Linked DNA regions of Drosophila melanogaster. Changing the gene in region 3 together with the main gene of any one other region gives a genetic interaction. Each region holds a gene or a part of one and is shown on either strand. Other genes may lie near its edges. The genes, in order: tay, PTP-ER and Mkp3.

Region 1 (9,532 bases), on a different chromosome or scaffold from region 3:
CTAGTTCGGCCTACGACAAGGAAATCGGCAACAATCTAAACAACGATGATTCCTCATTTCTGGGCAACATAATCCGCGAAATCCTGTACAGTCCAATGAACCTGGCCCTCCTGGCCATCATCTGCTTCCTGGTCTATAAAATCGTTCGGGATCGCACCGAAGTGCCATCCGTGGGCGTTGCAAAGCCATCCGAACCTGAGTTACCCAAAATCCGACGCGATTTTACCGTGAAGGAGCTTCGCCAGTACGATGGAACTCAGCCGGATGGCCGTGTTTTGGTCGCCGTCAACGGAAGTGTTTACGATGTCAGCAAAGGAAGGCGTTTTTACGGCCCAGGTGAGTGCTAGGCTATAAATATTTGAATTTAAGTTGTTCCTAAGCTTACAGTATAGCATATACCTTTAGAACTATTTTCGATTGATCTATTGCCGATTATAAGGAAGGGATTTTGGTATTTTGGTATGTGTTTCATTGCCAAGATCCCATTATTTATATCCCTCTATACGATGTCTATCTATAATTGCAATGCTACGTCACAATATTGGTTTTCCTGATATCTGTAACTCTCTTAATCGCATTTAATTTCTGTGGGAGGAGATATTGCACGACATATGCTCATATCTCTGCTATATTTCGTCATTTTTTTTTGCGCTAAGATTAACAGCTTATCAACAAGAAAGTTTTCGTTTTGAGATAACGCAACTATCTAACCAAATTCAATAATCAAATAATGCCTACCAAATGTCGACTAGGTGTTTTTATTGTTAAGCATGAAATGCAAAAATAGTTCACCATGATCGTCATTTTCATATGAAATAGTTGTCGTCCGCCTTATCAAATCGAAATACTTCCTAATGTAAATGCCTTAATTGAAATGTTCAAAGACACCAAACAGAAACCAGTGGCATTTCAACAACGGCTTGCACTTTTTCCTTAAGTATTTTAACTAAAAGTAACGAGTGCGAGCAAGATGCACGACACTTGTGACGTAGATGCGCAGAAAAGCCTTAAGTTGCGCACTTGATTGTATACTATCTTCTATCAACGGTGCCGTGTTCCTGATGACCAGACTGCTGACTCCAACAAACTAAAACTATATAAATATTTAGATAGTAACATATGATGATTCTCTGCTTTTCAGGTGGACCCTACGCAACTTTTGCGGGTAGAGATGCCTCGCGAAACTTGGCCACTTTCAGCGTGGTTTCAATTGACAAGGATGAATACGATGACCTGAGCGATTTAAGTGCCGTGGAAATGGACTCTGTGCGGGAATGGGAAATGCAGTTTAAGGGTAATTAAATCATATATATATATATGTATATGCTCAGATTCATAGGTAAACTAACGTTCTCATTATGTTATTTAGAAAAATATGAGCTGGTTGGTAAGCTATTGCGCAAGGGCGAGGAACCAACCAACTATGACGATGATGAGGACGAGGAGAATGTTAACAATGATGAACAAGAGCGAAAGAACCTACCCAAGTCGAAAACTGAGACTGATGACACCAAACAAGAAAAGGAAAGTCACATTTTGCAAAGCAATGTAACAAACAAAAATAACGCACAAGATCAGGCCACTCCTTCTACCGACTGTTAGCGAATCGGGTTTTTTGTTTTGCTTTTGGATGTGGCTGTAATAGTTTACTTTCGGTTAGAAACACAACAAAACTAAATAGCATTTCCGACTCTTTTTGATGCTGCCTCTGCTCCTTTAAAATCGAGAACAAGACCTATTTGGAAAACATTTAAAGAACACGCCCCAATTTGAACCGTACAAATCAAGGCATTAAATTTATCGTGAACATTTCAAAAGAATTTAAAACAGATAAAATCGTTTTTGAATGTTATTCTTAGAGTGCAGCCTTGACAAAAGCTATAGTTGTTACTATAATTCACGTTGTGATGTGATCTTGTTCCATATATTATAGTCGTATATTCATACAAATGTAACAAACGGAAATCATAAAATTATTTAAGGAGGAGGCCAATGTGTGGAGGGTATGGGAGTCATTTTCGTGGCAATATAAATTTAAATGTAACTATATTTGAAATACAAATTAAATACTTAAACGTTCAATATCTTTATTTGGGAGGTGGGGGAATCCTGAACTGCAAGAAAAGCAAAAAACAGGTTTTTTTCCTAATAATGGATTTTGATTTATTCCATTTGTTCCCAGTATTTTTTGAAACCAACTTTTCGCATCTTGTTATCGGTGTGAAACGCCCGAAATCGCGGCCACCAGTGGAGACTGGCCGCTACTTCGATAGTTATCATAATGTTATCCCCTTGAAAATGATTTTCTGCAGCTATCGAAAATTTGGTCCGTCTCTGAGAGACTATGTTGGTTCTTTGTGGTTAACAAAATTTTCGGAAAATAATATTGGATTTTATGTAAAATATACATAATAGCCGTGATGACAGTTAGTTTGGTAGCGATGCTTATAACGCGTTGATGCACAATCGATCGTTTTGGCCGTTCGTTGTGCGTTCGGTGTGTGTGGAAAATGTAAAAATGTACGAACAATCGCATACAGTTCACAAAAATTCGTCGTCGTCGTCGTCGTATTTGTATTTGTCGTTGTCGTATTTTGTATGTACGTATGTCGCAATTAGAAAAGTGTAAGTGTGAGCGAGATGACACTATTGTTTCTGTTTCTGCGCTGCTTCTGCAAATCTTTAAGAGAAAAGCCAACTAAAGTTCTGCGAAAGAGTAAAAATAAAAAAGAAGCTGCTTCAAAATGTTCTCTTTAATTAAAAAAAAAATTATTTTATCGTAATTTTATTTGCAAAGGCAACGGTGTGAAACTCTGGTTGAATGGTTTGTGCACTCGCTAGCGGCAGACTTATAGACGGCACGAACACGGAGGCATAGAGAAAAAAGGCCGAAAGAAAGAAGGAAAGCAAGAAAAAAAGCAACAGCAAAAGCAAAACCGAACTGGTGTATATAAATATACATACGTATACTCGTACGAATTTATATGTACGCATGCATGTACGTACATATATGTGCATACATATATTTCAAGAAGAAGAAGGCGAAGAAGCAGCAGAGGAGGAATACGAAGAAGAAGAAGAGTATATGACGAATGATAAAGTGCTAGACAAAATAAATATGGACTATTTTCGGTGAATTCTCATATCGGCTTTATGTTATTTATTTTTTTTATTATATTTTACATCTGTTCTGATTTGTGTGCAATCCCACTGACCCGAAAAAACAATAAGTGTTTGTTGTAAAAAAGAAGTGTGCAGAATTAAATATTATGTGTGTGTGTACAGAAAAAAGCGCAATAGGGAAGTTGACTACAAGAAAAAGAGCAAACGAAATGAAAACAACTTGTACAATTATTATTTTTAACCAAATTAGTGACTCTAATCAAATATGTTAACCGGTCGGAATGTGAAAAACCCCACAGTGGCCACCAAATAACAATATCACGTAAAAACAGTCGGCGCAGCATCGATTTTTTCAAAATACACGCGATTGAATCGGCCGTAGTAGCACCTTAAATCCAATATTTGTAAAGCTTTCTCGCCTTATCGCTGGCATAGAAAACCCCTCCTTCCAAAGAAAAAAAAAAAAAAAGTAAAGAAATATAGATAAAAATAATAGTCGAATGCATTGGAAAAGGTTTGGTCCAGATAGCAATATACATAATAATGCTCATCGATAATTTGTATTCCCAAGGAAAAGGAACTGAAGTGTAATCCACTGGAAGCTTTACGTAGCAAAAGAAATGGACACATCAAATGCCAGCGCTAAATCAAAGACGTCTGCGTCGGGCAGCAGTAGTATTAATGGAATAGGATCCCAAATCAAGCATATATCATCGTCGCAGGACATCGGATCCTCCGTTCCCGCTGTCCCAGTCCAGGATGAGAAGAGCGAGTCGCACTCCCACTCACATTCACACTCCAGCTCCAGCTCACAGTCGTCCCAGTCGCAATCGCAGTCACAGCCACAGTCCACAGTGCTCACGGTAGTGGGCCAGAGTATATCAAAGAGTTCGACCGGCGCCCTGGCGGTACTGCATCTTCCTCCGCCGACGGCGACCGCCTTAGTTCAAGCAAGTGCCAATATAGCCGATCTGGGCTCCATGCCTCGTGCTCGGCCATCGTTTGTATCGAACACCTCCTCGACGGCGGCGACGACGACGACGGCGACGTCGGCATCGGATGGCGGCAAAACCATGGCCGTGGCAGCGATTCCCCCGGCATCACCTGTCTCCATATCGGAGCCCACCTGTCCATCTGTTTCGACGGTATCGATGGCTCCCAGTGCCTGTGACTTTGACTCCGACACGGAACTCTCGATTGTGGCAGCTGCAGCGGCCGTCTCCGCCTCAGCCGGCATAGATTCGCGATCCCCGACGTCTCCTCCGACGGCGGCGGGATCCACAATAATGCCACAGCTGAATTCCAGTGCGGGAGGCACTGCTAGCATAGCCGGTAATCAGTCCGGCTTCGGAGCGGGATCAGGAGCGGTGGCTGCTGGGAATACCAATGGCCACAGCACCACCTCCAGTAGCAGTACTCATCTGAGTCTGAATGCCAAGCAACAGCGCCAGCAGAAACGCCGGAGGGAACGTGCCCAGCGTTTGCAAGCGGAACGCGACAGTCGATGCAATGCCAACTCGCTGAGTGGCACCTTCATAGCCGGATCCTCTGTGGGGGTCGGCAGTGCCATGAGTGCGGCCAACGGTGGCCAGGGAGGTGGAGTTGGCCTCGTCACGCCTAATAGTAGCGTCGGTGGCGGATCCTCGGCTGTTGCAATGGGCAACGGATCGGCGGCAGGACCCGGCAACAATGGGATGATCTATCACATCAACAGCGCTGGCAGCATGGGCGAGGATAGCAACAATTCAAATGGAAATTTCACCAGCAGCAGCAATGGCAGCAACAATCTGCTGCCGCCCACAGATAGTATTGCATCGTTACTCCTAAATCCACCACATTCCCCCGAGTGCAACTCGGGATTGATGGCCACGCCTAGCGATAGCGAGGGTGAGTCGCTGGACGAGGATCTGCTCTCGACCTCGTCCTCGTCCACACTGCTCTTGCCGCGCGACAAGCCACCGCCTCGACCACCACCTCCGGTTCGAAGAAAGCTGCCACGATCTCCGGTGCTCGAGGAGGAAATCATCGATGGATTCGCTATACTGGAGTTTAAGACATACGAGGATCTTGAGGTAGGTTTCGTTGCCATTTCATTTCATACGTGCACGCAGCCTACTGTAATAATCTTTCTTCACAACAGTTTGCCATCAAATTGGGACAGAAGCGGAAGGAGAAGCGTCTATCCGCACTGGACGAGCTAACTTGTACCTACAGTATAGAGGAAATGAAAATCCCAAAGGTTATAGATACTGGTCAATCGCAACCGTTGCGTGTCACCAGCCTGTCCACTTTGACTGTTAACAATAACAATCTGAAGGAGAACCCGCAGCCAAGCCTTCATCGTGATCGTGGCGGCAATGTCATTAGCAACAATAATAACAATAACAGCAGCAACAACAACAACAGCATGATCAACAGCAATGGCCCCAACGCGAACAGCAATAGCAGCAGTTTATCCAACGTGGTCTACCTGCTGCCATCTGTGAACATGGTGGGCAATGTTCTGGAGACGGAAGCCGAGCCCAGGGATCATTGGCGATCCGAATATGGGCAGCAGCAAGACCAATTGCAATCGGACAATAGCGCAAACAGTAAAAGTAATAATAACATTAGTGATGATAATCAAATTAACAATAGTAGCCACCAAATAAACCACACAACCAACAACCAATCGAGCAAGCAACAACAGGCGGCGGACGGTGGTTGCAATGCGGCAAAAATGCAAGTGAACAACAGTGCTACTGTTAGTACTCGATTTTTGGAGAACGACAACGATTCACTGATGTTGGATATCAGCCTGCCATCGCTGGGCGTTGGTGGCGCCGTATCGCATAGTCATGACCACATTGACGTTGGTGTGATTCACGCCAGTTGTACTGGCAGCAGCAGCGACACCAAAAAATCTCACAATTCCCCCGCCACGAGTAACACTATTGACCAATTGCACGTAACAAAACCGCTGCCCACGCACCAGCTCAATAATCTAATATCAAGTGATCTTAATGCCGCCGCAAATGCAAACGCAAACAGTAATCACCTGGGTGTCTGCAAACTGGGCTCGCAATCAGCACAGGTCGCAAAGGTGAGTCCACCTCAACTGTCCGATAAGATGTTATTTACTAATAGTTATCTTAACTCGTTGCCCAGAAGTCGATGGGTTTGGAGAACATTGAAACCGTGACGAATTCAGCGACCTGCCGCTCCCTGGATATTCAGGAGCTGGCCAATGTTTCGGCGCAATCCTTTGGGGCCAGTAGCAGCAGCAGCAGCAGCAGCATTAGCATAAAGAAGGAAAACGAGCAAAGTGATCTTTTGAACGATGTAAGAATCCATTTCTTCAACGCAAAATATTTTGTTAAAACGAATCTTCTGTTAATGTAGGCTTCAACCAATTGTAGCAGCAACAGCAAAGGAAATAATATCGTAAGTATATGGCAGCATTTTCAACGAATATGCATTCTAACATTCTTTTCTTACAGTGTGATAATGTCAGCAATGATAAAAAGGTATGTCCTGCTTCTATTCTAATCTATAATATTGAAATCATTTACTTTGGTTGCACAACAATTGAACTAGGGGACGCACATATGTTCTGCATTTTATTTATAATTAGGATTAAATCATGGGATTAAAATGTCTGAAAATGCCTCTAATTGCGCAGTAATAAGTACTCTTCTTATGTCCAGGAAGGACGACATCCATTTCTTAAGGCGTCCCAATTATTTCTATCTCATTCTTTTTCACTGCCAAAGAAATAGTTGAAGCGAACAAGCATAGAATCCCTTTTATAAATGGGTATATTTGATTTTTGCTATAAATATAAAGGTTAGCTTTAAGTATGAATTTGGGCTTTTATTTGTGCATAAATCTACAACGACTCGTTTTAATTGCTCGTTAAATGAAATATACTCTTTTACTTGCAGAATTCTGAACAAATATTTGATATTGACAACCCCCCAACGCCCATGAACATTTCAAATACTTCTTCGTGTTCGGATCGATCGTCTTCTCGCAAGTTTTCCGAACTTCCACACCTCAAGAAAAAGAGTGCGGCGTGTGGAGATAGGGATAATGGCCCATATGCCGGAGTACCTTTTGCGGCAGCGATGGGCACAGTATCTCCGGACAGCGATCCAAGTAAAGCTTTAAACATTAAGAACGCATCGGAGAGCGCATCGGGCAAGGCGGTCCATGCCCATGCTGGTGCTCCGATTCCACCACCACCTGCGGCCAGCGTGGGCGATCCTGGGAACAGAGAGCTGGGTGTGCTGCAGAAAACCTCACCCGACAAGCCACTCTATCCCAACTTGTGTGCTCCGCCATCGGTTTCGTCAGTGCAAGTAAGTTAAGATATGCAATAGCCAACTTGAAGTGTCATCTAATTGTTGTATTTATCTTTGAACAGTTCCCCAACGTTGGTATATCAGCTGGAAATGAAAAAATTGCATCAACAGTTGCATCTGACATCGATCAAAAGATTATTTTCAACAGCAAGGCAACTGCTTCAGTTTCGAACGGCTTGTCGTCGGGGGTGCAACGGTCAATTGTTCCATTACTATCTGCGGCGCCATCGCCGGCTGCGGTTACTCTAAGCAGTCCGTTTAGCGCACACATCGCAGCTGCACCGAATGCTGCCGGATTATCAATACTAAGTTCGGCATCGAGTGTGATTCTAGCCAACAGCAGTATAAAAAACACCAACAATGGCAGCAACAATGGCAGCGCCAATGGCCAGGGACAACTGTCTTCGGTGGGATTGTCGAGCACTTCAGAAATTGCGAAAAGTAATTCGGTACCAACGACGTCCTCACCCCCCAATCCCATGGTCAATGGCTTCCTTAGTGTTTATCCGCCGCCTGCTGCTACCATTGCAACGTCATCCGTAACTACAAGTGCGTTGTCACGCGTCTCGCCCAACGCAGCCAATAAATTAGTGCCACCGGTCTCCGCCACAACATCCATCTCGATAAACACAAACTATGTTGGTATTTCTGGTGGAACGACGACAACTTCCGGCATGGGAAAGGTGGTCTTCGGCGCTGGCGGCAATGCCATTGTGGGCACAGGGTCTCCACTGCTTTTTCCTGGCGCACCGCCCGCTCCCATTTCTCATGTGGCCACTGGCGTGCCGATGATCATCCAGGCGCCGCCATACCGAGCACCGTACACGAATTACCCTCTCTACACTCCATATAGCGGCCTTACGCACGGGTCATACCTGCCTCCAGTATTGCCGGTTGCCACGCCCAACTTGTCCAACTTACCGCCCACACAACACCGGAGCTCGGATAGTCGCAACAGTCGAGAGTCGCCAGCATCCTTGAAGTCAACGCCATCGAATATTGGATTAAATGTATCCATGGCGCCGACCCTGCGATCCATCACGCCACTTAATAATAGCAGTGCAATTTCTAGCGGCGCATCGCAGCCCGTTGTGTCGGTGGTGCCTTCGGCGAACTCGACTGCCCTTTCCATGAGCAATCCACATATATCTCATTCCCATCATGTGCCTGCCTACGCTTCAGGTGCATTCTCATCCTCTGCGGCCGCTGGGACGAGCACCCCGAATTCAGGACTCTCTACACTGGCGGTTACCTCACTATCAACGTCGGCTGCTCCCCAACCGCACTCGCACTTCCCCCAGTCAACGCAGATGCTGCCGCAGAGCGGTAACTTTTCGTCAGTGTCCCATTTGCTGACCACGCACCCAATGTCATCGCAGAATCAGCCAATGGTTCGCTGCGGAAGTACACTATACTCACAATCGTCTGCGGCTGCAACTGCGCCGCCATCAGCTGCTGCTGCTGTCTCCAACTTCACGCCCTCGGTTCTCGCTGTGCAAAGTTTGACGACAGCGGTCACGTCGAGCTCGTCATCTCCATCAACTTTATCATCATCTGTGATCCAGAAGGTTATTTCCCCCAAAGGAGAGAGTCCTTGCAATAAAGATCGGGATTCCAGCTACAGGTGAGCGATAGCCATATACATTTATTGATATGCAGTTTGAAAATCAATCTTTACGTTTGCAGTACAAATATCAGATCCCATGGTGCGTCAACAATGCTGCCTGGCGCATCCCAAGGCATTGGCCTGGGATCGTCGTTTTGTGGTATCGCCCCAAGTCAATATGGTGGTACAGGTACCCCAGTATTATCGTCAAGTTCTTCAATGCCGCCAGGACTGGGAAATCTCTCCTCGTACTCATCGAAGGCAGCACTGTGGTTAAAGTAATAATCAAATATTCATTTCGCTATGCATCAAACTAACGTGGCTTCCTTCTTGTTCTGGTGCAGCTCTCCTGCCAACGCAGTGGTGACGACATGTGCTCCCACAACGCCCATAGTATCGAGTGGTAGTGCCCGTCCGACGCCTCCGCTCTCCAACTGCACAAGCATGGGCATTGGCATGG
Region 2 (12,007 bases), on a different chromosome or scaffold from region 3:
TTGCCGGCCCACCAAAACGCCTTGTTTCACTGGCACTTTCACCTACAAACAAGTAATTGAACAATTTTGTTGCGATTTGGAAGCGCACTCATTACCTTCATGCTGCTGCAAAACCTGGTAAAGATTAGTCTTCCACACGGACGAAGAAGCATTGTGAAATCAGCCCGTTACGGGTTTCCTTAACAATCTAATCGGCAATTATTCGGCAATCTCAAAACCTGAATCTGAAACACTGAACTTTGTTCGTCGAAATCAGCTGTTTGAGGCGCTTAACCCTTAGCTGGTGCTGCATGAGTGATTTTCGACGTCAATTAGTTCAAGTTGTAAATAGAAAATATAAACATTTAATTTACTTTAACTTAAAGCTCTAATTAAAAGATGTAATTTTGAGTACTGGAGAATTTCTTGTTAATGTCAAAAAAGTAACTCATCGCAATTTCCCTTTACTTAAAAACGTTAAGAACAACAAAATAAAACTGCCAACTTTACACATTAAGGTTACATTTAAAATGTTTCTAATTTTTATTTGACTAGTTCCATTGCATAAACTTAAATACATGTTCATTTATGGGTTTCCATTTTACTTATCGAATTTTTATCTTGTGTTTTAAATGAACTCGTGTCCGTATTTTGGTCCACGTCCGGCGGTCGAGCTGTCCGCTTGGGATTGGAGAAATTGGTGTTTAGTCAGAAGGACCCAGGGAAGGATCCAACTTGAGAAAGGTTTGAGCTTTCTCCGCCTCCAAGCAGGATGCACAACTCACCGAGGGGCGTCGACGAACGTCGCGAGTCATATATAGATGCGCATCTTTATGGTAAGGTATGGTTTTGGTAAGGTAAGGTAGGGTATAATAATTGTTAATTAACTTTAGTTTAAGCATAGTTCACACCAAAAGTCGGAAACATTTACACTTATGTACACATTTAACACACATACATCCAACACTTAATAAACATTTATATATATGTAGAATATGTGGTAATAGTAATATTTAGAAAACATTGAAAGCATTCCGTCAATCCTCCTTCGGAGAATGCCATCATATTCCATTTTCGAGACTCTTTTAGCCATGGTTTCTTGTTTTACTTGTTGCTTGTCCGTCGCGGTTGCTTTCATTAAAATAAGGGCCACAAAAATTGTGATTACAAATAGTAAATTGGTGTTTTGTTCTTCATCTCCATCGTTTTGTCGTCAAAAAGTTGTTGATCATGGTTTTCGCTCGCTTTTAAAATCGCCTCAACGCCAGTGTGCGTTTCAGGTAGAGGCAAATGGCCCGATGGATGAGCTCATACTGCTCCGAGTTCTGGACCATCCCGCCCCGCTGCAGGCGAAGATTGCAAACGATGCCCAGGACGTCCACGAAAATGTCCGGCATCTTGGGCAGACGGTCAAAGGATGGCGGCGTCTTAACCGCCTCCGCATCGCGATGATCCAGAATGTGGCTGATGTGCCGGATGGTGTTGCAAGTAAAACTGCTGTCGCTGTCCGTTGGGTTATGGTACTCCTCTGTCGAGCTGCTGGTCAGCGATTTGGTGAGCATTCCTGTCAGCGAGTAGGCCAACGACTGCCGCAACTGGCGCACTGCATTCAGGATGGCCGTGAAGCAACCGGTGCGCCCAATTCCAGCCGAGCAGTGGATGACGGGAAGGGGCTGGACTGCATTGAAGATGTCCTGCTGGTAGATCTCCAGCCGCTGAGCAGCCAGGTGGGCATTCCTCTCGCTCCTGGTGTCATCGTAGATGTCAAACTCCGACTCACACTTTCCAAGGTTGAGTACATGCAAGCAGGTGTCCAGCAGCGTGTTGATGTCCCGAGGCGAGTGATGATCCGGCCAGTCGGGATACCAATAGTGGTAGCAGTAGATTTTCTGCAGGTGGTAGCTAGCACTCTGTGGCACACGAATGCAATAGAGCAGCACCAGCTTTCTCACCGAGTAACCATTTCTTCGCACAATGCCGACGTTTTTAATGAGGAAGAAGCTTCCCTGGGCGGGCAAAGCCTCCAGCAGATCCCCTTCCAGCGTCACCTTCACCGACTCCACGCCTATGTGCCGGCCACTTATCTCATAGTCGATCGCATCCGAGGAAGCCACCACAGTGTCCGGCACAAAGGTGGGCGTTAAATACCGATCGAAGTAATCCCGGGCAGCCGCACTCAGCTGAAACACTTCACACTTGGCGGCCACCGCGAAGATCTCATTCAATTCGATGGGGAAGTAGACGGCGCACTTCTGCCGGTTCGCTTCCGTGAAGTTTGTGAGCATGACAATCTTCTGGAAGTACTGCTGCAGGATTTGCTCCCTGTCAACGTGAGGACTGCTGCTGCTGCCTCCATCCACGCACCGTCTTATGTAGCGCTGCGTGTTCTGGTATATCATAAGCCAGAACTCGAAGATTGTATTGGGCAGTGGACCCTGCGTGGCCACATAGCACTTCGACACGTAGTCGGGTCCCTGAAATGAAGGAAATATATACATTACTTTCATTGGATTTGCGCTTAGTTCCATTACCTTGATGTAATTGGCATTAATGTAGGGCAAGTCCTCGCTAGCGGTCACGGAGCTGGTCCGTTTTATTTCCCCCAGCAAGCTAGTCAGCTCGCTGGACTCGGATTCGAGTAGCACGCGAGAGTTCTCGTTTGGCAAGATAGTCTTGTAGCGATTTTTTGTCTGCGAGCCGAAGACCATTGGCTTCTCTTGGTGATTGAGCGGCAGGTCCCAGAACTCCTTGTGCAGATCCCGAAAGATTCTCTTTTGTTCGTTTTCTTTCAGTTCCGGTATTGGTTGCGCCATCCTACTAACCACTGTCTGGTAGGACGCGAGCAGTTCACTGTCCTCCGAGCTCGGGGGCACCATATCCGTGGGTGTCTCCACATCCCGTGCGTTGGAGCCCAGCACCGGCGGCTGCTCTATGATGTTCCTATTCGTCTGGTAGCTGTGATCGAACACGTAGTTCAGCCGGATAAGATCAAACTGATTAAGTGGATTGGAGGCGCTCTGCAGCATCTGTATGCTGGCCAAGTAGATCTTGAACTCCTCGCTAGTCGTTTGGGGCGACAGAGGACGGGTCATAATGTTGCGTACGGTGCCAGCGCAAGTGCACGTCGCGCCAATGGCCTGATCTTCCCTCACCGAATCCTGCTGAGGATTGGGTTGCAAGTCCGAGGCGGATCCGAAACATACCTGCCCGAAGAACTTTTGGCTATTGGCTTTACTGCTGTTCAAGTTCTCAGTGCTAAAGAATTTGCGCTGATGCGGGGCTTGGTTGGCGGCAGCACAACTGCAAACCGTGACTTTCGGTTGCACGATGTCCGTCATCTGGATCTCGGTACCTGCTGCTCCTCCCAGTATGCTGCCCATGTTGAGAGTGAGGCTTTGATTGGAGCCACGACGTTCTAAAAGTCCTCGTTTCGGAGTAGGTACATTGGATCCAGAGCCCGATCCCGAGCCGGTGGAATTGGTTCGCATATTGAGTCGGTTGTACTTTTCCGCACTTAACATTGCCTGTTGCTGTTGGAGCTGCTGCATGGAGTTTAGATCTCCACACGATGTTGTAGTGTGCCCCGTCTTCAGGGTGATACTGTGATTTGATCCCCGCCTCCTGAACAACCCCTGCCGACTACCCTGGCTGCTTCCCAGCAGATGTGACTGTGGCAATTGATCCGCTCGAATTTGGCTGGCGGTTCCCGCATCCAAATTGCAGCTGGACTTGGAGTTGAGTATTGAGCCCAGGCTATAGTTGGAATGACTTAGTCCACTGTTCATTAGGTTGCCACAAGAGCTGTGCAGGTTGAGCGTTAAACTGTGATTGGATCCCCGACGCTGAAGGAGATTCATCGATGATGTAGACACTGTGGTCTTTGCCTGGAGTGTCGGCATCGGCAAATCCATTGACTTCTGCTTGAAAGGCGATTCCTTAGGACCACCGCCAGAGGAGGAGAACTCCACCAGGGTAAGGCACTCGGGAAGCGTTTTTAAATTTGTGCTGGACGAGTGCAGTAACTGATTGTGCTTGTGGGCGCTTCTCGGCGCTAGGCTTGCGCCTATTCCAAACTTCGAGCCACCGTCCACGCTACAGGCGGACTTCAGTTCAAAGTCCCCCAAACTGGGGGTTAAACTGGCGTCCGAGTCCAAGGAGCTTTGTGTCGTGGAGCTGCAGTGTGTCGGTTGCACCTGATATGGGTTCTGCTTGCGGTGGTACATAAGCCAGTCAGTGGTGTTGATTCCTGGTGACTTTCTGCGCGGCGTTCGTCTTTGATTGGCCAAGCTTAGGTGACTATCCAGTCGCGAGAGCGATGTTGAGTGGATAGCGGATGCGGGCTGTTGAAGATGAAGGTGATGGTGGATAACACTTGTCGATGGCTGGCTCTGTCCTGTCTCCATGTCATCACAACTGCCATGAGATTCGGTTATGTTGTGCACCACGATTGACAGTTCCGATTCGTTGGCAGCCGAGTCCAGCGAGCGGGCCTTCTCCTTGGTGCTCTTGATAGTCGGTGTCTTGGGCTTGGGCAATGGTGATGGCTGGCTCGAGTTTTTTATGGGCACGTCCGTGATGCGAATGGTGAGATTATTTTTATTCTTGCGGTTCTTTCGCCCTTCCGATTTTTGTTGCTGCTGCTCCGGCGGCTCGGCCAACGCAGGACTACGATCCCGACGTGTAGCTTCCTCTAAACAGACTGTATCCATGGGCGCATCCTGCACGACATGATCGATCTCGGGGAAGCGAAAGAAGTTGCCGTTCTTGTAGCCGGCCGAGTTAATAATGTTCAGGGGTGAACCGGACACGTTTAGGTTGTTGATGGAGGATAGTAGTTTCGGGGAGTAGCTTAGGCGACTGGCCTCCAGTCCCGGCGTCGTGGAGGACTCATCCTTAAACAGGATGGTGGGTGAGTTGTGCTCGCTCTTCGACAAGTACAAGCTGTTCTCTAGGTCTTGGTCGACTGACCCGCCCTTGGGCATAGTGTTCTCCTTGTCGATGCCACGGCCACTGACCCGCTCCTCGCCGCTGGAGGTATTAATATGCGGCGAGCAGGATCGGCGATCATACTGTGATAACCTCTTGAACTTGCGGCCTAAAGTGGGAGACTGTGAGCTGGATGGATGGTGGACGTGGGCTGCTGGATGGGGGCTGGTAATGGTGAACTGCCGGGGGGTGAAGACCTCCTCCTCCTGATCCTCGTGCTCGGGAAAGCCCGGAACCCCGCCCCCAACCTCCACCGTGGGCGACGGAAACTCGAAGGACGTCTGCAGGTACTCGAGGGGCGTAAAGTAGGGTGTACTCTTGTTGCTCTCCGCATCCTCGCCAGCTTCAAGTGGGGTCGTGTCGGAGGGGGCGGCGTGGGTGGGACGGGGGGTCTGTGGGTAGGGGTACTCAATGGGTGCATTCTCCTTGTTGTTGTTTCGTAGCTTGTCCATGATACACACACACAATTGCTGAAGCGGGGCGATCGCAGCGCAGTCGCTCCGCCCGTTTAGTGTCTTGTCCTCACTCGATCGGCATTATAACTATCTCGCCCGCACAGTTAGCACTTCCGAATTGGACGCAAATCATGGGGAAAAGAGCGTTTTCTTTTCACAACATTTTCAGAGCTAAAGCATGGAGGGCTACCAGACCGCGTATGTAATCGATCCGGCAATGCCTTCATTGCTTACCGTGCTGCCAGGCCGCAGACTAACTGCACCAAGACCTGGCAACGTTGTACCTAATTTAACCGCATTTTTCAAGTGTCTTTTAAAATAAAAAGAAAGAATAGGTTAACAGATCTAGTGTTTACATCAAGGAGTTGCAGAATTTGTAATGCAGATGTTGTACACGGGCGATAGTTAATTCAATCGATCAACTGAGATGGTATCAGACAATTATATTTTGCATGCATCCAGAAAAATTGTTGTAAAAGATCACAGACTTAGTTCTAAATAGTATTTCAACCTACCTGTATTTTTGTTTATGAAATCACTACAAAGTTGTGAACAATTTAGAAGCAACAACGTAGTGTTCCTATTACCACCGTTCCGTTTACCTCACAGTTGCACGTTGCTCTTTGGCACGCTTTTATCTGTGCATTTGCTTGGAAATAATTAATTGAGTTAGGCATTTAAATCCTTTTGTGTACTTTAGACTTATTTAAAGACCTTTTAGATTGGTTTAATTTGCCGAAAGACGAAAACAAACAAATTTGTGCGACAGCTGACTTCATTATTTCAACGACAATAGCAAAAGGCCACACTAATTTTGCGAAAAGCGCGTGGTATTTAATACCTTATTTATTTGCTTTATTTCGCCATTAGAAGTAAGTTTCGCTGTGTCGAAAATCTAGCAAAGAAAGCCACTGGATCAAGACCTAGTGCATCCAAAACCCAGTAATTCATTTCGATGTCTGAGGGCAGCGGAAGCGAGAATGCGGCCGCAGCAGAGGCTGCGGCCGAGGCAGAGGCCGCGACTGAAGCGGCACTGATGGCTGAAGCTGTGGCTGTGGCCTACCAGAGCGACGAGGAGGAGCAGCCAGAAGCCGAGGATATGCCGGAGCAGGCTGGCGATAACCAGGAAGAGGACGCCGCTGAACAACAGGATGGGGGGGAACCAGAGGCCGACGAAGACGCTGATGCTGACGACGCCATGAGCGTGGAAAATGCGGAAAACGAAAGCGATAGCGGTGGAAACGCCGAGGAAACCGCTGCCGCCGACCGTCGCCAAGCCACCAAGAAGGAGCTCACCCAGATTATCGACAAGTGGGAGCAACAGCAGACCCAAAATGGATACGATCCAGTGCCCACTCTCAGGAGGTAAGCGTGCTTCAAAATCATTAACGCATGGGTCCAACTTAATACCTTTACTATCGCAGCCTTGCGGAGATCTTTGAGCGTGAGAAGGACGTGTATCGGCGCAAGGATCCGGATCCCTTGGACTCACGACATCCATATAGAGCCGATCCCAGCTGCCAGTACGGATTGCTACTCAAGCTGCTCTTTCGGAAGGATACCTTCATGGGCAAAGTAAGAATAAAGTCATGTGATTTTTATTTTTCTAAAAAGCAATGTAAATGTTTTCTTAAAATCAGGTGTTTTAGAATTTCCAAAACATAAGCTAACTAAAGTGAAATATTTTATTTAACTAGCTCCTCAACGATTACCTGCGAGAGAACTATTTCAGTCGCCAGAATGTCAGTCGCAGTTCTCTAGAACTAAACATCTTGGCCTGCCGCCTCATTCTGGAGATAATGCCAGGAATGGAGACCTCTGCAGTATTTCAGACCGCCGAAGGCGATGGAACCATCAATCGCATCTACTCTTGGGCAGAGGACAGCATTGAACCGCTTCAGAGCTATGCCACCGGGCTTTTAGCCGAAGCGATGGAAGTGAGCGACATAGCCATAAACTTTCGCGATCTTAATATTCGATTGGTGCCAAAGATGATCAAGCGTCTGCACATGCTCCTGGCGATCAGCAAGAGCGCCACTTCAGATGTCAATACGTCGATGCACAATCTGTCGGCTGACAGCAGCACGGCGGGCATGCTTAGCTGGGTGGCCTGCGCCAGTAATGCATCGGCTCCTCAATCGCCGCAGCACAATGGCAGTGGGCTGGGAGCAAGTTCCTCGCAGCATGGAGACGCCTCTAATATGTCCATTCTGTTCGAGAACAGCAGAGATGCCTTTTCCGTATCTCGCTATTACAAACGGATGTACATTCCTTTGCACCCGGCCACAGCAGATACCAGCCAAATGTTAATCATGCGCTTCCTGACCAGCCTGGGCGAATATCAAGAGTTCCTAGCCATGGCTTTCGAAAACAATGTGATGCAGCTAATTTTTGGCTACCTGGAGAACTTGGATCGCCGGGACACCTGCTTGGCCTACGAAGTTTTGAAGTATCTGGCTTCCCTTCTTTGCCACAAGAAGTTTGCTTTAGAGTTCATTTCACACGGTGGACTGGAGGTCAGTAAATGGTCTTGTAGAGGGAATGTAATTATTTTTAACTTTACTATTTTTTACAGCTTTTGTTAAAAGTGCCCCGCCCCAGTTTGGCGACTACTGGTGTGTCCATCGCCATCTACTACTTAGCATACTGTGAAGACGCCATGGAACGCATATGCAGTATGCAAAGACCACTTATTTCAGAACTAGTTCGCTACGCGCTTTGGATTCTGGGTCGTTGCCACGACTCCTCAAAGTGCCATGCCACCATGTTCTTCAGTCTGAGCTTCCAATTTAAGGTCATATTGGATGAGTTTGATGCTCAGGATGGTTTAAGAAAGCTGTACAATGTCGTAAGTAAATGGTTTAAACGAAAGAAGTTCGATTAAAGTCAATTACCTTAACTTCTTCCTAATAGATTTCCGTACTAAAAATTCTTGATCCGAGCCACAACGACAGCGATAATGACTCTGATTTCAACGAAGACGTAGAATGTGCTTCCCGACAAATGGTGCGCCACGTCTGCGTAGCCCTCAAGCGCTATATGGAGGCGCACTTCTTCTACAAGTACAACAGCTTTCTGTGCCAAACAAATGCGGCATCCCCGGCACCGTCATCAGCCCACTATTTCAATCAGAATCCCACGGTTGCTGCCAAACTGACCTTTGACCAATTGAACGACCAGATTCGCACGCTCCAGGAGCACACTTCTATCCGGGCGCACTGGCAACCCGTGGATCAGCTAATGAAGCTTGGTGGAATCACCATGCTACTCAGGATCATCGCCTTCAGTTACGATTGGGTGAACAGTGGACGCTCCGAGACGGTGCGCTCGGCTCTGGACGTGCTCAGCGTATGCTGTATTATCCCAAGAGTTTATGTTGTGCTCTGCGAGCGCCTGCTGATGCTAGACAAGACAACTACCTCCGGATTTTGCTCGGTTCTGGGCGCTGCTGCAGGAGAGATTAGCTCGGATGCAGAGGTTATCAAATCGGCGTTAGCGGTGCTGTGCCATTGTGTTTGCTCTCCGATCATTCGCAAGGACAGCGGCACCAGCCTGATTAAGTTTGGAACGTCCTCCAGGAAGAACAAGGCCAACCATAAGTACGCCGAAGAGCTGATTGAACGTGTGTGGGAGTCCGTGTGCTCCAACAATGGCATTGTGGTCTTGCTATCGCTGATGCAGACCAAAGGACCCATTACGGATGCGGACTGTATACGTGGAATGGCCTGTAGGGCCTTGGCGGGACTTGCTCGCTCCGATCGGGTCAGGCAGATCGTCAGCAAGCTTCCACTCTTTGCCAGCGGACAACTCCAGACGCTGATGCGGGATCCCATACTCCAGGAGAAGCGCGCGGAACATGTAATCTTCCAAAAGTACGCATTGGAGTTGCTAGAACGAGTGTCGGGTAAGACGAAACCGCTAAATAATCCTTTGGATCCATCGCTGTCCAACATGCACAAGGCCAATGTAATCGCCCAGACACGCATCCAGTATAACAAGCAGCAGCTGTATCAGCTTATCTTCGAGCACCTGGAAAGCAACGGTCTCTCCCAGACAGCCCAAATGCTGCAACGGGAGGTGGGTCTTCCGCTACAGACTCCCACTACGCGCAGTTTTCATCAATCACCTTTCGACTACAAAAGTCTTCCCAGTGGTAGTAGCTCGCTGTCTAGAAATCGTCTGCGAAGCCGCATGCAAGATGTGAACGCAGCGATAATGGGCAATGGAGACTTAAACAGAAGTTTTGGTGAGGACTCCTCGCCGGCAGGAGCCGGTGGTAGCAATGCGGGAGATGGAGTCAGCATACCAAATTTTAGCTCCCTTAACACAACGCAGACGCCCATAAAAATAAGGAGGACGGATAGAAGTTCAGTTAGCCGCTCTATCCAGAAGCAGGCAATGGAGCCTGGTGGCATGTCAGTTGGTCTTGCCGAAGATGGTCAACTGCATCCCAAGAGGATCACCCTAAATACCATCGTAACGGAATACCTCACCAACCAGCACTCGCTGTGCAATAATCCGGTGACAACCTGCCCGCAGTTTGATTTGTACGAGCCGCACAAGTGTCCAGATCCGAAGCCCAGCCGATTGCTAAGCTCGAACTACAACCTGACTAGTCGGCATGCTCGAACCCAAGCCGGATTTAATACCAGTCGCTTTGACCGTCGCTATGTGCACACGCACTTTTCACCATGGCGTAGCATTCGATCGGCGGACTACGAGGACCTAGAGTTCACCTGTTGCGATTTGGCGGGTAAATACATCATTGTGGGCACGCAGCAGGGCGACGGACGAGTGTTCAACATGAACGATGGCGTGGAGCAGTTCTTCTCCAACTGTCACAACTTTAGCGTTGATGCTATTAAGGCTAATAGAGCCGGAGACTTGGTCATCACATCTAGCTTCTGGCGCACACCCACCAGCATTCTATGGTCTATTGCGGACGATGAGTTCAAGCTAAAGTTGCGACTTCCCGATGTCACGTACTGTGAGTTCAGTCAAACGGTGCAGGATCGTTTGTTGGGCACCCAGAATGAGGTATACTAATTTGAGTTATTTTACGATCTATAGCAGTTTCAACTAATAAATTCACCTTTTTTTCACAGTGCGCCACGCTCTTTGACATAAACACTGGTTCCAAGGTGGCCTCGTTTACGCCAACCATACCTAATCTCTACACCAAAAACAGAGCAACTCTTTGCCGAACCGATGAGCTGATTTTGTCGGGTAATTACATAAATGCATTTATAAGTATAAAGTTACCTGAAATGTAACTGAATCGAATTCCTAGATGGCGTTCTATGGGATGTGCGTTCCGGAAAGGAGATCCACAAGTTCGACAAGTTTAATCAGTGCATATCAGGCGTCTTCCATCCCAACTGTCTGGAGGTACAGTCGAAATTTGTGTTGATTTATTTATACCATGTTAATATTTCCAACACAATTTGTAGATCATTGCCAATACCGAGGTGTGGGACTTGCGCACCTTTCATTTGCTGCAGACAGTGCCGGTGCTAGACCAGCGTAACTGCACCTTCTCCCCGATGCATGTAATCTACGGTGCTAGCTTGGGGGCTGATAGGGACCATGACATGGAGACGACCACCTACGACACCAGTTTCAACGTTCTGGACGCCTACGACTACTCGAGCATTGCGACCATTGACGTTAAACGCAACATAAACGATCTGAGCGTCAGCGCCAACGGGAGTCTGATCGCCGTGGTCGAAGACTACAGTGGCTACGAGTCCAAACAGGAGACCTACGTGAAGATCTACGCTGTGGGCGTTAAAAAGAGCGAGCGCTCGGAAGAGGTGCGTGCGGTTAAGGAGCTGGCCAGCGAGGTATCGGACGCAGTGGCGCCGGGGTCGGCAAACGCTAACGATGGTGGCGATGCTTCGCTGCTTCGGGTTTTCGAGGAGCCACCCGAGGAGCGCCCACAGCCGGCGGAAAACGCTGCACCCGCCGGTCCCAACGATTTTGAGGAGGATCAGCTACGCCGGCTAAGTCCCGCCACGCAAGCAAGTCCAAATCTTTCTCGCCAACATGCACCCAACAGCTCAATTGTTGGGGTGCGACGGCGGGCACGTAGACTGGGTGGCAATGGCAGCGGCAATGGCAGTGGCGGGAATGGGAATCTGAATCTTAATGGTGGTGGCGGAGTCGGAATCGGCGCTGCCATAGATCTGAGAACCCTCATGCGGCGCATGGATGATATTGAACTAAATATTATGTCTATGCTTGCAGGAAGATGATGAGGAGGTGCCCGAATCTGATGAGGACGGTTCGGATACGGGCTCCGAGAACAGTAAGTTTGATTTTGATTATAATCATTTAATCCGTTGCTAAATCTCCTTACTCCCTAGCTTTTGCTATAGGTCAAAATTTACTGGGTTTCCCCCTGCTTCGTAACCTTCATGGCTCGGACAACGATGACGAAGATCTGGATGAGGACGACGATGATGGAGAGCCGCTGGACTCCGATGACGATAGTGACGACGACGACGGCTCCGACAATGGCGACGACGATGGCGACTTTGATGTGCTGGAATACTTCGATAGAAGCAGCTCAGACGGTAACTCAAGAT
Region 3 (9,654 bases):
ACTCTTCTTTTATTACCGTTTACATTTTATTTTTGGCCAAGTTTTCGCGTGGGCCGAAACACCCTCGGTGGCGTCCATTACGCCGAGTACCACGTTGCCATGTAAAATCTTTACTACCACGATATCTTAATTAATCCGTTTAGGATTGAAGTCTGCTCTCGTTGAAGTTTTTCATTTCATTGCCGTACAACTACAACTGCATCACTAGAAACTAGTAATAAATAGTACTTAAAAATTCACACATTTTCTTATCAAATTGTTACCAGTATAAGTTGATTTGCTGACCAAAATATTATGCTCAATTATAGGTTTTAGAGCAGTAATCAAGGACGAAGATTCCATGAAAGATCTATATCTCCATGTTACTTATGTTGACCGCCTAATTATCGAGCTCGCTGGCACACTGAGAGAAATTGTTTTTGATTGGGGGGCTTTCCCCAGCCCTTATAACGCAACGGAAGTGCCAACTTCGAGAGCATCGGCCCCTTAACTCGATCAATTGGCTGCAATTTGGCTTCTCGTTTTTGTTCTTGTATCAATTACAGCAGCTCTGCGCTTTCTCTAGCTGTCGCACCCAATTCTCGCAATTAATTTGCCTTCAGCTTGACCCTGGAGGTCAAACACTGGCTCGCATTAACCTTCGTTGGCCCCTCCGACGAATCAATTGGGGAAGGATGGCACGGATGGGCGATGACAACCACGATGACGATGGCAAAAAAAGGAGGAGGGGGGTGGCAGGAATTTCTACTCTTGATTGCTCTACTTTAAAATGAAATCCTATAAAGTAAACATCAAAAAAAGATACAGATTGATTGAGATTCTAGATATTACTTTTAGATTGCCACTCAAAAATACAGTAATCAGATGAACATTGAGATATTTCAATATTAAAAAAAAATCTTTCTTCTCCACAACAACTTTTAAACAACGTTAAAGAATTTATAATCTTTAATCTTTCGCTTATAATCACAATTGAAGCACATAAGCTTTAAACTTTAATACAATCTTAGAAAGCTTTTATGCAATATTTTCATTCTTTTAGTGTTAACAATCTTAACCGTAAAGTAATTAATATTTAAAATATTTTTACTTACTTAGTACTTATTCATACTAAATCGTAGTTCTTTCCCACGTGATGTCTTCAAACACATGATCTTGACTAAGTGATGAACAATGTTATTTACAACTTTTGCAATCAGTAAGCCGGTAAAGAAAGTGCAGAAAATTCATTGAGCAGCCCCCGAATGACGTCAACAGGATTTTGAGTCTGGCGTAGGTGCCCCATTTCCCTGTAGCCCTGTGAATTTTATTTTATTTTATAACTTTCCCCTTTGGAAGGAACACGTGGCACCGGCTGCTGTTTAAGCCACCTTGAGTGAAGTGGCCAAAGTGAAATGAGTCAGTGGGCCCGACAAAACCAATCCCAAAAGTGAGTACAACCAACGTCATTCGCATTCTAATTCGGTGAATAGGTAAGTCGTTTGGTCAGGTCGCCGTTTGTTTCGTATCAATCGTAACTTTTGCTCGCGTGGGCGCTCAAAGCCAACAGATTCTTTCACATCTGCCGTCCCGACTCGTCATCCTTTCTTCTTTTTTAGCGTCCGGTGCAGATCTGATTTTTTAGACATTTTTTAGCACTGGAAACAGATACTTCCCAAGAGGATTCACATTCTACAATGACGAATTACTTATCTTCAGATGAGGAGGGATATCAGTTCGTATATGGGATGAATCTTGGATTTCTTGTCAATCTATGCATGCTATTTGATATATAATTATAATTATCAAATAGTATTGTAAAACGAAAAACTTTAATTGCATTGTTGCAGAAATGTTAACTTATATTTATATTTTGTCATAACTTGTTAAATTCGTGTTCATTTATTAATGTCTGTTTTAATCAAAGCTATTATTAAATGATAATTTAATTTTTTATCACCGTTTTTGGCTACCAATTTGAACCAACACTTGTCTGGAACGACGTCATCGGAGTGCCCAGAATCATGGAGATTGGGAACATATGTATATATTGAGATATTGAGAATCTGTGAGATACTTCAGCCTCTTCGCTCTGGTCAAACGTCAAACGCACATTGATCGACGATTGTTGATCGACCATTGTTGATTCTAGAGACCCGTGGCGCCCACCGACATCCGCTGTTCATATGGGCGAGTGATTCACAGAGATCTCGCGGAACGGAACTCTGGGGGCTGGACATGGATATATGGATGTGGGCTGGATTCGAGAACCCAATTGCGAGTGTGAATGCGAGTGTGAGTACACACATTTCAGAACGGGCGAAACGGAAACATGAATGGCAGATAAGCGGACGCGCCAATTCTTAATCCCATTCCAGTTGTTTTAGGTCAGTAAAGCAGAATGCAAAACTAGTGTGGGAGAATGCCGTTGAGCTAACTAACTGCATTTAAGAAATAATTATATTGCTTCAGCTAGTTAATAAACGTCCAAATTATTAGAAGGCAATATTCATCTCGTAGCAATAATTATCCTATACTCATATGAGTTTTGTAACTATGAAAAGGTTTCAGCACAGCGATAACTAATAACTTGCTGGGAAATATCTGTTAGAAAGTATACGCAGTTAATGGTCTTTCTTGATAACAATGAGTGGAAAAATAACACCAGATAATGAATAAAACCCTGCAAAGCTCATATAAGTAGTATCGCACATTGCGAATCACGATGATCCATATTTCCCCCATTTCTCAGAACTTTTCACTCATTCAAGCCGATATGGCTATGACTGATCTATACACGCACCATATAAAAACACTCGGGAAAGCGTCATCATCTTCATATTGATTATACGTGGGGTCTGATAATCAAGGTAAAGGCCGTAGCTTGCGCAATTTAGATTGACAATCGTGAGGTGCAGAAATTTAATTGAATTCTTCACTTTCGACATCAGTTTCCTGCTAAAACACAGATAATGCCCCAAAGTGATTCATTGAGCTATACAAGTGGGTTGGGTATTCCATTTTGGCTGCGAGCAGACTTTGAACTTGTGTCATCGAAGAATGGAGCCCGGAGGACGACCGACCTTGGCTTCTACACTGTCAGAAATACATATATGTATCGCCAAGGTCAGCCCACCAAAGACACTTGGAAGGCGCAATTGAGCAGCCTTTTGAAACAGCTATCCAGGTGCTTACTTCTAATTTCTTCATACTTGAGTGATACACTGACAGTAATTATGTACAACTTTCGATGAATACAAAAATTAATGGTAATATGTGTGTTTACACTTTTGTGTTTACTGAAGCGTAAATAAATAAATGCTTAAATGATTTCATATTATAACAAATATTTCTTAGTATTATATATAAATATATATATATATTTTTTGTGTGTGTTTTTATTATTAAAGAAATCCTTTTGAAGTACGCATGTTTTCTTTGTATTGAGACTGCTGAAAGAAAATGTAATTTATTAAAGAGCCGCTCAATTTTTCCCTGTGCACTCCCTTGCAACATTCCGGCTGGCCTCCCACGCGCCAGGGCCGAAAGCAGAGTAAAGTCCTGGGGAATAACGCCCTTGGAATCTCAGGAGCCGCGTGCCAAGACGAAAGTGAGCAGCGAGAAATGCGTGGGCTGAGCATGGATTTCGTATGGCCGTTTCTTTCCCTCGCCGACTGTCTCCCTCTCTGTCTGCTTGGCTTTCTTTATTGCTCCAACGGTTTTCGCTGCTGCGTGGGACTTTCATTCATGAAAATTGTGCTCGAAAGTCGTTCGTTCGTACATCTGTATATAGTAGCACGTTGTGATGGGCCTTACCTAACGGTATATGGTGTGTATGGGTGTGCGTTTTATGTAAAGCTAGTGCAACGCAGGCGCAGCAGGAAGTTTGTTGTTTGTGGAGAAATTTTTGCACGCGCCGCATATCCTTGAAATTGTCCTTCCATGCGATTTCTGTATGGGTACACACGTATATCCTTGTGTGAGTCTCTTCTTTTTGGGTGTAAATATCAGGGTCATGGTTATAAAATTAAACATTTCATCGAGTCTCCAATATAACTGGCTCTTGGAGGAGCATTTGCGCAGGAGCTTTCGTTAGAGAGTAGACAGCGACTCCATTGATGATTCCGATTCTTCTGGGCTCCGTAATTTCTTATCTGTCTAAATTAGTGGTCCATTAACTTTTGCACTCTAGTGAAGTGAAATGTTAACCGCGCTCTCGCAAAAAGAGAGTAACAATAAAGTAGGTTCCATCGCGAAGGGTAAGGTGGGTGGTGGTGGGAGTAGTGGGAGAGTGAGAGAGAGCTAGTTTGGATGGCGAATTCAATGAATCAACACGAACACACGCATTTTACTTGCCACACGCATACCACAGCACAAAAATATCAATGAACTTTACACAAAACTTTGGGAGCGTATGCAGCGTGGAGAAATAGTCAAAGTGCCAAAAGAGTGCGGGAGAGAAAGGCAGGTGGGAAATTTGAAATACGAACCCAGTTATGAAATAATTATTTAACATACGGGAAAATATGATTATTTAATATATTTAAAAAATTTTATGTAATTTATAGAATTAAAACAAAGTCTTTACTTTATCTAAATTTTATTCAGGAACTCTCTTTGTATTTACTTTTTTCCCCATTTTTTCTCCTTTTTTAACCGAGCAAATTTCCAAGTGGGTCTGTGCCTGTGCACTGGCTCTTGCTCACCTTTTGGAGAGTTGCTCTTCTCTCCGGTTCGCGTACCTGTGTGCGCGGGTGCGTTCTTCCTTTCATTGCGTGTAACGGACTGTTTGTTTCGAAATAGTAATTCCCAAATGTATTTTTTTAAACGAGAAGGCAAAAAGATTCAATATTTTATAAGTTATTTCTTAATACTGCGCCTAACAAATACAATATTGTTATTGGGTTTCGCTCTTCGAATTCCGACGGAGAGAATTGGAGAGTCGGAGAGCAAGTGCAACTGTGTTCGTATTTTTGGAGAGCAACGAGGCTATTTAAGCAACCCACGACGCGCTTATTTTGTTATTGCCCGATTATCTTTTACCCGCGCTGCTTGTGTGTGCTCGCTTTCCATTCGAAAAAAACATCAACTCAAAATATGGATATTTGATAGAAGTAATTACCTATTTGTTTGGGAAATATTCAACGGTTTTTGGATGTTTTAGTTACTCGATGACAGGTTCACCGCACGTTTTTTCATTCGATTCCGAACTGTTGTTGTTGTTTTAGCGAAGCACACCTAAAAAATACAAAACCACTCACACACACGCGAAACATACACACGGTTGTGATTTGGCGCGCTCTTGTGTGCGTGTGTACATACAACAAAAAGCAAAAAGCAACGAATTTCGGTGTGCAAAGAAACATAAATCGGCAAGCGAGGAAATCGGAAAGCCAAGAAACAAAAAAAACAAAACAGTGCAAGTTACAGATTTCCCCAAACGAGATAAAAACAAAAATTCCTTTTTGATTTCCAAGATTTTCATCTGCGCGGGAGTGTGTGTGTGTGTAACAGCAACAAATACCATTGCACGGCCAAGAAAGAAGAAGAGAACCAGCGCGAAGCAGAAGAAGAAAGATGATGTAAACTTTGTTGTAACCAAAAGAAAAAAGAATAACATAAAAAACGAGTGAAGCAGAGAACAGAGCTAAACGGGAAAAATAGTGGCAGTGCTTCGAATTCTTCCAGTCTTTGAGTGATTTTTTGGGAGCTCTTCAAAATGCCAGAAACGGAGCACGAGACCTGCAGCAAGGAGTGGCTGCAGTCCCAGTTGCGATCCCTGGACTCCAAGGACCTGATCCTGTTGGACTGCCGCGGCTCGCACGAGTACAGTGAGTCGCACATCCGCGGAGCCGTCAACCTATGCATACCCAGCATCGTCCTCCGTCGTCTGGCGGTTGGCAAAATCGATCTGGCCTCCACGATCAAGTCGCCCGAGCTGAAGCAACGCATCCAGTCGGGCTACAAGCTATGCTGGTTCATCCTCTACAACGGCGAAGGCGTGCCCGGCCAGAATCAGGAGATCGCCGGAGCCGGATCCCTGGCCGTCGCCATGGACTCCATCATCAGCATCCTGCACCGTCGCCTCAAGCAGGACGGCTGCCGCGTAGTTGCTTTACAAGGTGAGTCATAAGTTCAATACTTTGGGTGCCCCAAAAAATAGAACTACAATATCATAATACAAGTGCGGGAGTTACTAAAACCAACTAAGGTTTATATATACCTCTCAATTCCCACATTTAAACTCACGTAATTAATCTTATAAATATGAATACTATCCATGTTGATTTCATAGAATATGTACATATTTGAAATATTAAAGCTTCAGTAATAGAAATGACTAAGTAAATCATTATAAACATAGTAGAAAACCGAAAAATTTCATCCAAAATTTCCCCCCTTAATCTCGTTTGATTAGAATGTAATAACTAAAGTAGTAATATTAAGATTTACATTGTGATATTCTTGGAATGCAATGAATCAATATTACGAATGGAATTTTTTGTTAGTTTACTACGCACCTGTATCGAGAACGGAACTCTCCATTTGTTGATCATAGCTGTGCTATCGGATTCTTTAAATGCCTGATACTTCCCAACACCGCCCATAAATCAATGCCGCACATTCCTATCCTAGGCCTAAGAATATCATAACTTATTTATACTTCCCCAATGTTGTTTGCGGCATTTTTAGCCCGAAACCCCCAAGGAAGAAACCAAAACAAAACAAAACAGCCGAAAGAATATTAATAATACAAGCAAGCACTGCCTGGCCATAAATAAACATTTGCATGGATTTGTTATTGTTTTTTTTTTTTTTCGTTTTGGCGAAACAAGGCAAGCATTCTGGGGGCGGAGACAAAATGACAAATGCAAAAAAAAAAACTAGCAAAATATAATGTAATCCGCACAGCTGATAAAGCTAGCGCCAGATTAGAATTATATTTAGTCTGACTGATCCTGTCCTCCTCCTCTCGCATTCTGATTATAGACATACACTGCATAGATTTCACCTTTCTGAACTTGTTTTTGGTTGACACGATTTTGTTTGACTTTGATAGAAAATTATAATGGCAGGAATTTGTTAGTTTATATATGCTGTGTCTTTTGTTTCCTTATCACAATTGCATGTAAGCTATATTAAAACTTGCGCAAAATATCAATCCAACCATATCGGCGGATATATATGTATATGTAGTTATACCACCCCGCATGCCCTTCCAATTATGCACTTTATTCTGAAACACTATGCCCCTCCTTGATTGGCCCATATCAATTAAGGAGCGATTTAAATATAAATGTGTTTTCAAAATCGTTTGGTATTTTACAAACACGTTCGGAGATTAAGGAAGTCATAAATAAACATCACTGCTGTCGATGCTTTTGAGGTCTTTCCACTATTGTTGGCTACACATTTTCTTTGTGCTCCCGTATAGATTTGTGTCATTCAGAAAAATGTCACAATTGCTTTTCAGCGACTCCGAGGCTCGACTCCCATGACTCAAAGCCACATAAATTGTCATATATACTATATATGCTATACATATGCTTATTTATGTATGTGCTGCCCTATATGCCTGTGCACATAGTCGAAATATATACATAATTATCTGACGACTGACTATGGCTTCGTTTTTATTTTTATCACTTCAATTTCCGCTCGCTTACAAGTCCCACAGAACCCCGTGATTGTTTGGATGTATGTACATATGTATGTACATATACACACTTTTTTGCCGAACAAGCTTTACGCACGTTCTCCTCTGCCATTCAAATGTTTTCTGTTTCTTTTTTTTTTTTGTGTCTGCCTGCTAATATCGCAAATTGACAATAGAGCGTCAACAAATGGACCGGCTTTTCAGCCTCCCAACTCTCTCACCCCACCACCCATCTCTAAGATACTTTTCTTTTTGTACCGATTTCATTTCGAAAGATAAATAGAACTTGAAAGGCCGTGGAATTAGCATAACATAAGGTGCCATCTCAACTATGACGTCAAGCCGTGGAAAGAGATGGCACTCTATGGTGGGAAAGAGATCGCTGCAACGAAGCATCCTGTGAAAACTACCTGTGCACAGGTAATTAGGAGAATCGGGCCGAAACATTTTACGACCGGCAATACCAGGGAAACACCCAAGAAAGTTGGAACCTCTTGACATTCGCCAGATGAACAAAACGAAGTTTTGGAATGAATAGTAGGCGAAGGTGGAAAGATAACAGCGTGAAAATCCAGTGTCACCTTTTCAGGGATTTCATTGTTTTTCCGGCCTGCTGAAGTGTCCGCTTTGTTCAGTCGTTTTCCTTAATGATCCCGAAATGGTAAATGAATTCTGCGACCTCAGGCAAGAATTTTGAATGGAAACATAGCCGAGCAACCGATTTTTATTGCGTTTCCCGAAACATGCTCGATAAACAAACTCAAATTCTCAATTTGGGCAAGAGCGACTACTATTTTCATAATTGTTTAAACGATTTCGTGAAATGATCTGGAAATAATGACTATATCATCGCCCATATTTAGTTGGCTAAATTCAAAATCAATTCCGCAATCCGTTAATGATTTTGACATTTTAGTGGAAGTCGCTGGGCCGACTTATCTAATCACATGAGTGGGTTTGGGGTTATTTGCCATGCAAATGCACAAAAAGCAGCTGTGTAGAGAGGAAGTTGTGGCATTAGTGTGGCATTAGTTACGTAGTGTGTATCGGAACGGGGAATATCTATAGCTATTGGTTGCGATTAGAAATGGGGCAGGAAGTTTGGGCTGGGAAGCAAGCGGAACTGGGTCAGGTTGGCTAAAAAAGGAAGGAAGTCCAAAGCGGAAGACGGAATGGGGATGTAAATAATGATATATTTATTTGCAACAAACTTGGGGCAGAACATTCTTTCTACTATTTGCTTTCTTCTATTGAAATTGTTACACGGAGTTTATATATTAATTATTACTTTGCATACGGCTAACATCTCCTCACATTGTTTTAATAGGTTATTTATAGGTTTTATTTATTTGCTTGGTTGCTTAATAAAGTTAATTCCTTGCGCTTGCTCTTTAAGCAAATTTCGCTGTTTTAGTTGTTTAGTTGTTTTATCCATTAGGCGATAAAAGCCACACAGTGTAATCCCTTTTCTTGTTGTGACCAACAGAAAATCTCCGGCTAACAACCGCCAAACACCGACGGTAATCAGCTTAAGCTGGCCCAGCAAAGTTCTTACCAATCTCGGGTACAATAAAGTTTTTCCCCCGACTTGCCACTAATTAACCTTGAAATTCAATCAAGTCCCGGCAATTATGCGCTCTTTGTCAGCCAATGATGCCGTCTCTTTCGACGTCTTCCTTTTTTTTTTTAGTTCCAGCTTCAGGACATTATGAAGTCCCTGGGCAGCATGAAAAATGCATAATGCATCGCGGCCATCGCTGGATTCGGCTTCAACTGGCGATGTAAAATTCATTTTAATTAAATGCCACTTTGTATGCATTTCTCGGAATTAAAACAATTAAGATGGGGCCAACTGGGGCACCAACTATATAGGATAGAATGCGACATGTGCGCACAGAAAGGGTCACGCGAATAGTGGCACTCGGTGTATCTGTAGTTCAACAACTTTAAATTTCAGATACTGAGATGCTATGCTGCAAGAGATTTATATATTTAGTTTAATTTCTAGCAAGTTAGTA

Evidence for each region.
Region 1: of Mkp3 (region 3) and tay, changing one enhances a phenotype caused by changing the other (phenotypic enhancement), as found in Drosophila melanogaster (one study listed by BioGRID).
Region 2: of Mkp3 (region 3) and PTP-ER, changing one enhances a phenotype caused by changing the other (phenotypic enhancement), as found in Drosophila melanogaster (one study listed by BioGRID).

What each region holds. Positions count from the first base shown.
Region 1 is NC_004354.4:15,880,106-15,889,637, reverse strand, and holds the start of tay (tay bridge), read left to right. Parts: upstream 1-2,326; 5' UTR 2,327-2,600; exon of another isoform or gene 2,601-2,625; intron 2,626-3,694; 5' UTR 3,695-3,743; coding exon 3,744-5,195; intron 5,196-5,263; coding exon 5,264-6,205; intron 6,206-6,270; coding exon 6,271-6,444; intron 6,445-6,504; coding exon 6,505-6,546; intron 6,547-6,602; coding exon 6,603-6,629; intron 6,630-7,046; coding exon 7,047-7,463; intron 7,464-7,528; coding exon 7,529-9,090; intron 9,091-9,152; coding exon 9,153-9,350; intron 9,351-9,416; coding exon 9,417-9,532. Other genes in the region: MSBP (membrane steroid binding protein), read left to right, coding at 1-336, 1,142-1,294, 1,370-1,602.
Region 2 is NT_033778.4:21,618,821-21,630,827, forward strand, and holds PTP-ER (protein tyrosine phosphatase-ERK/Enhancer of Ras1), read right to left. Parts: upstream 5,627-12,007; 5' UTR 5,418-5,626; coding exon 2,511-5,417; intron 2,454-2,510; coding exon 1,227-2,453; 3' UTR 501-1,226; downstream 1-500. Other genes in the region: clt (cricklet), read right to left, coding at 1-42, 96-152; mahj (mahjong), read left to right, coding at 6,376-6,785, 6,845-6,995, 7,118-7,936, 7,996-8,268, 8,334-10,457, 10,526-10,646, 10,711-10,808, 10,871-11,233 and 2 more.
Region 3 is NT_037436.4:19,081,768-19,091,421, reverse strand, and holds the start of Mkp3 (Mitogen-activated protein kinase phosphatase 3), read left to right. Parts: upstream 1-4,995; 5' UTR 4,996-5,698; coding exon 5,699-6,101; intron 6,102-9,654. UniProt on the Drosophila melanogaster protein: Negatively regulates the activity of members of the MAP kinase family in response to changes in the cellular environment. Has a specificity for the ERK family.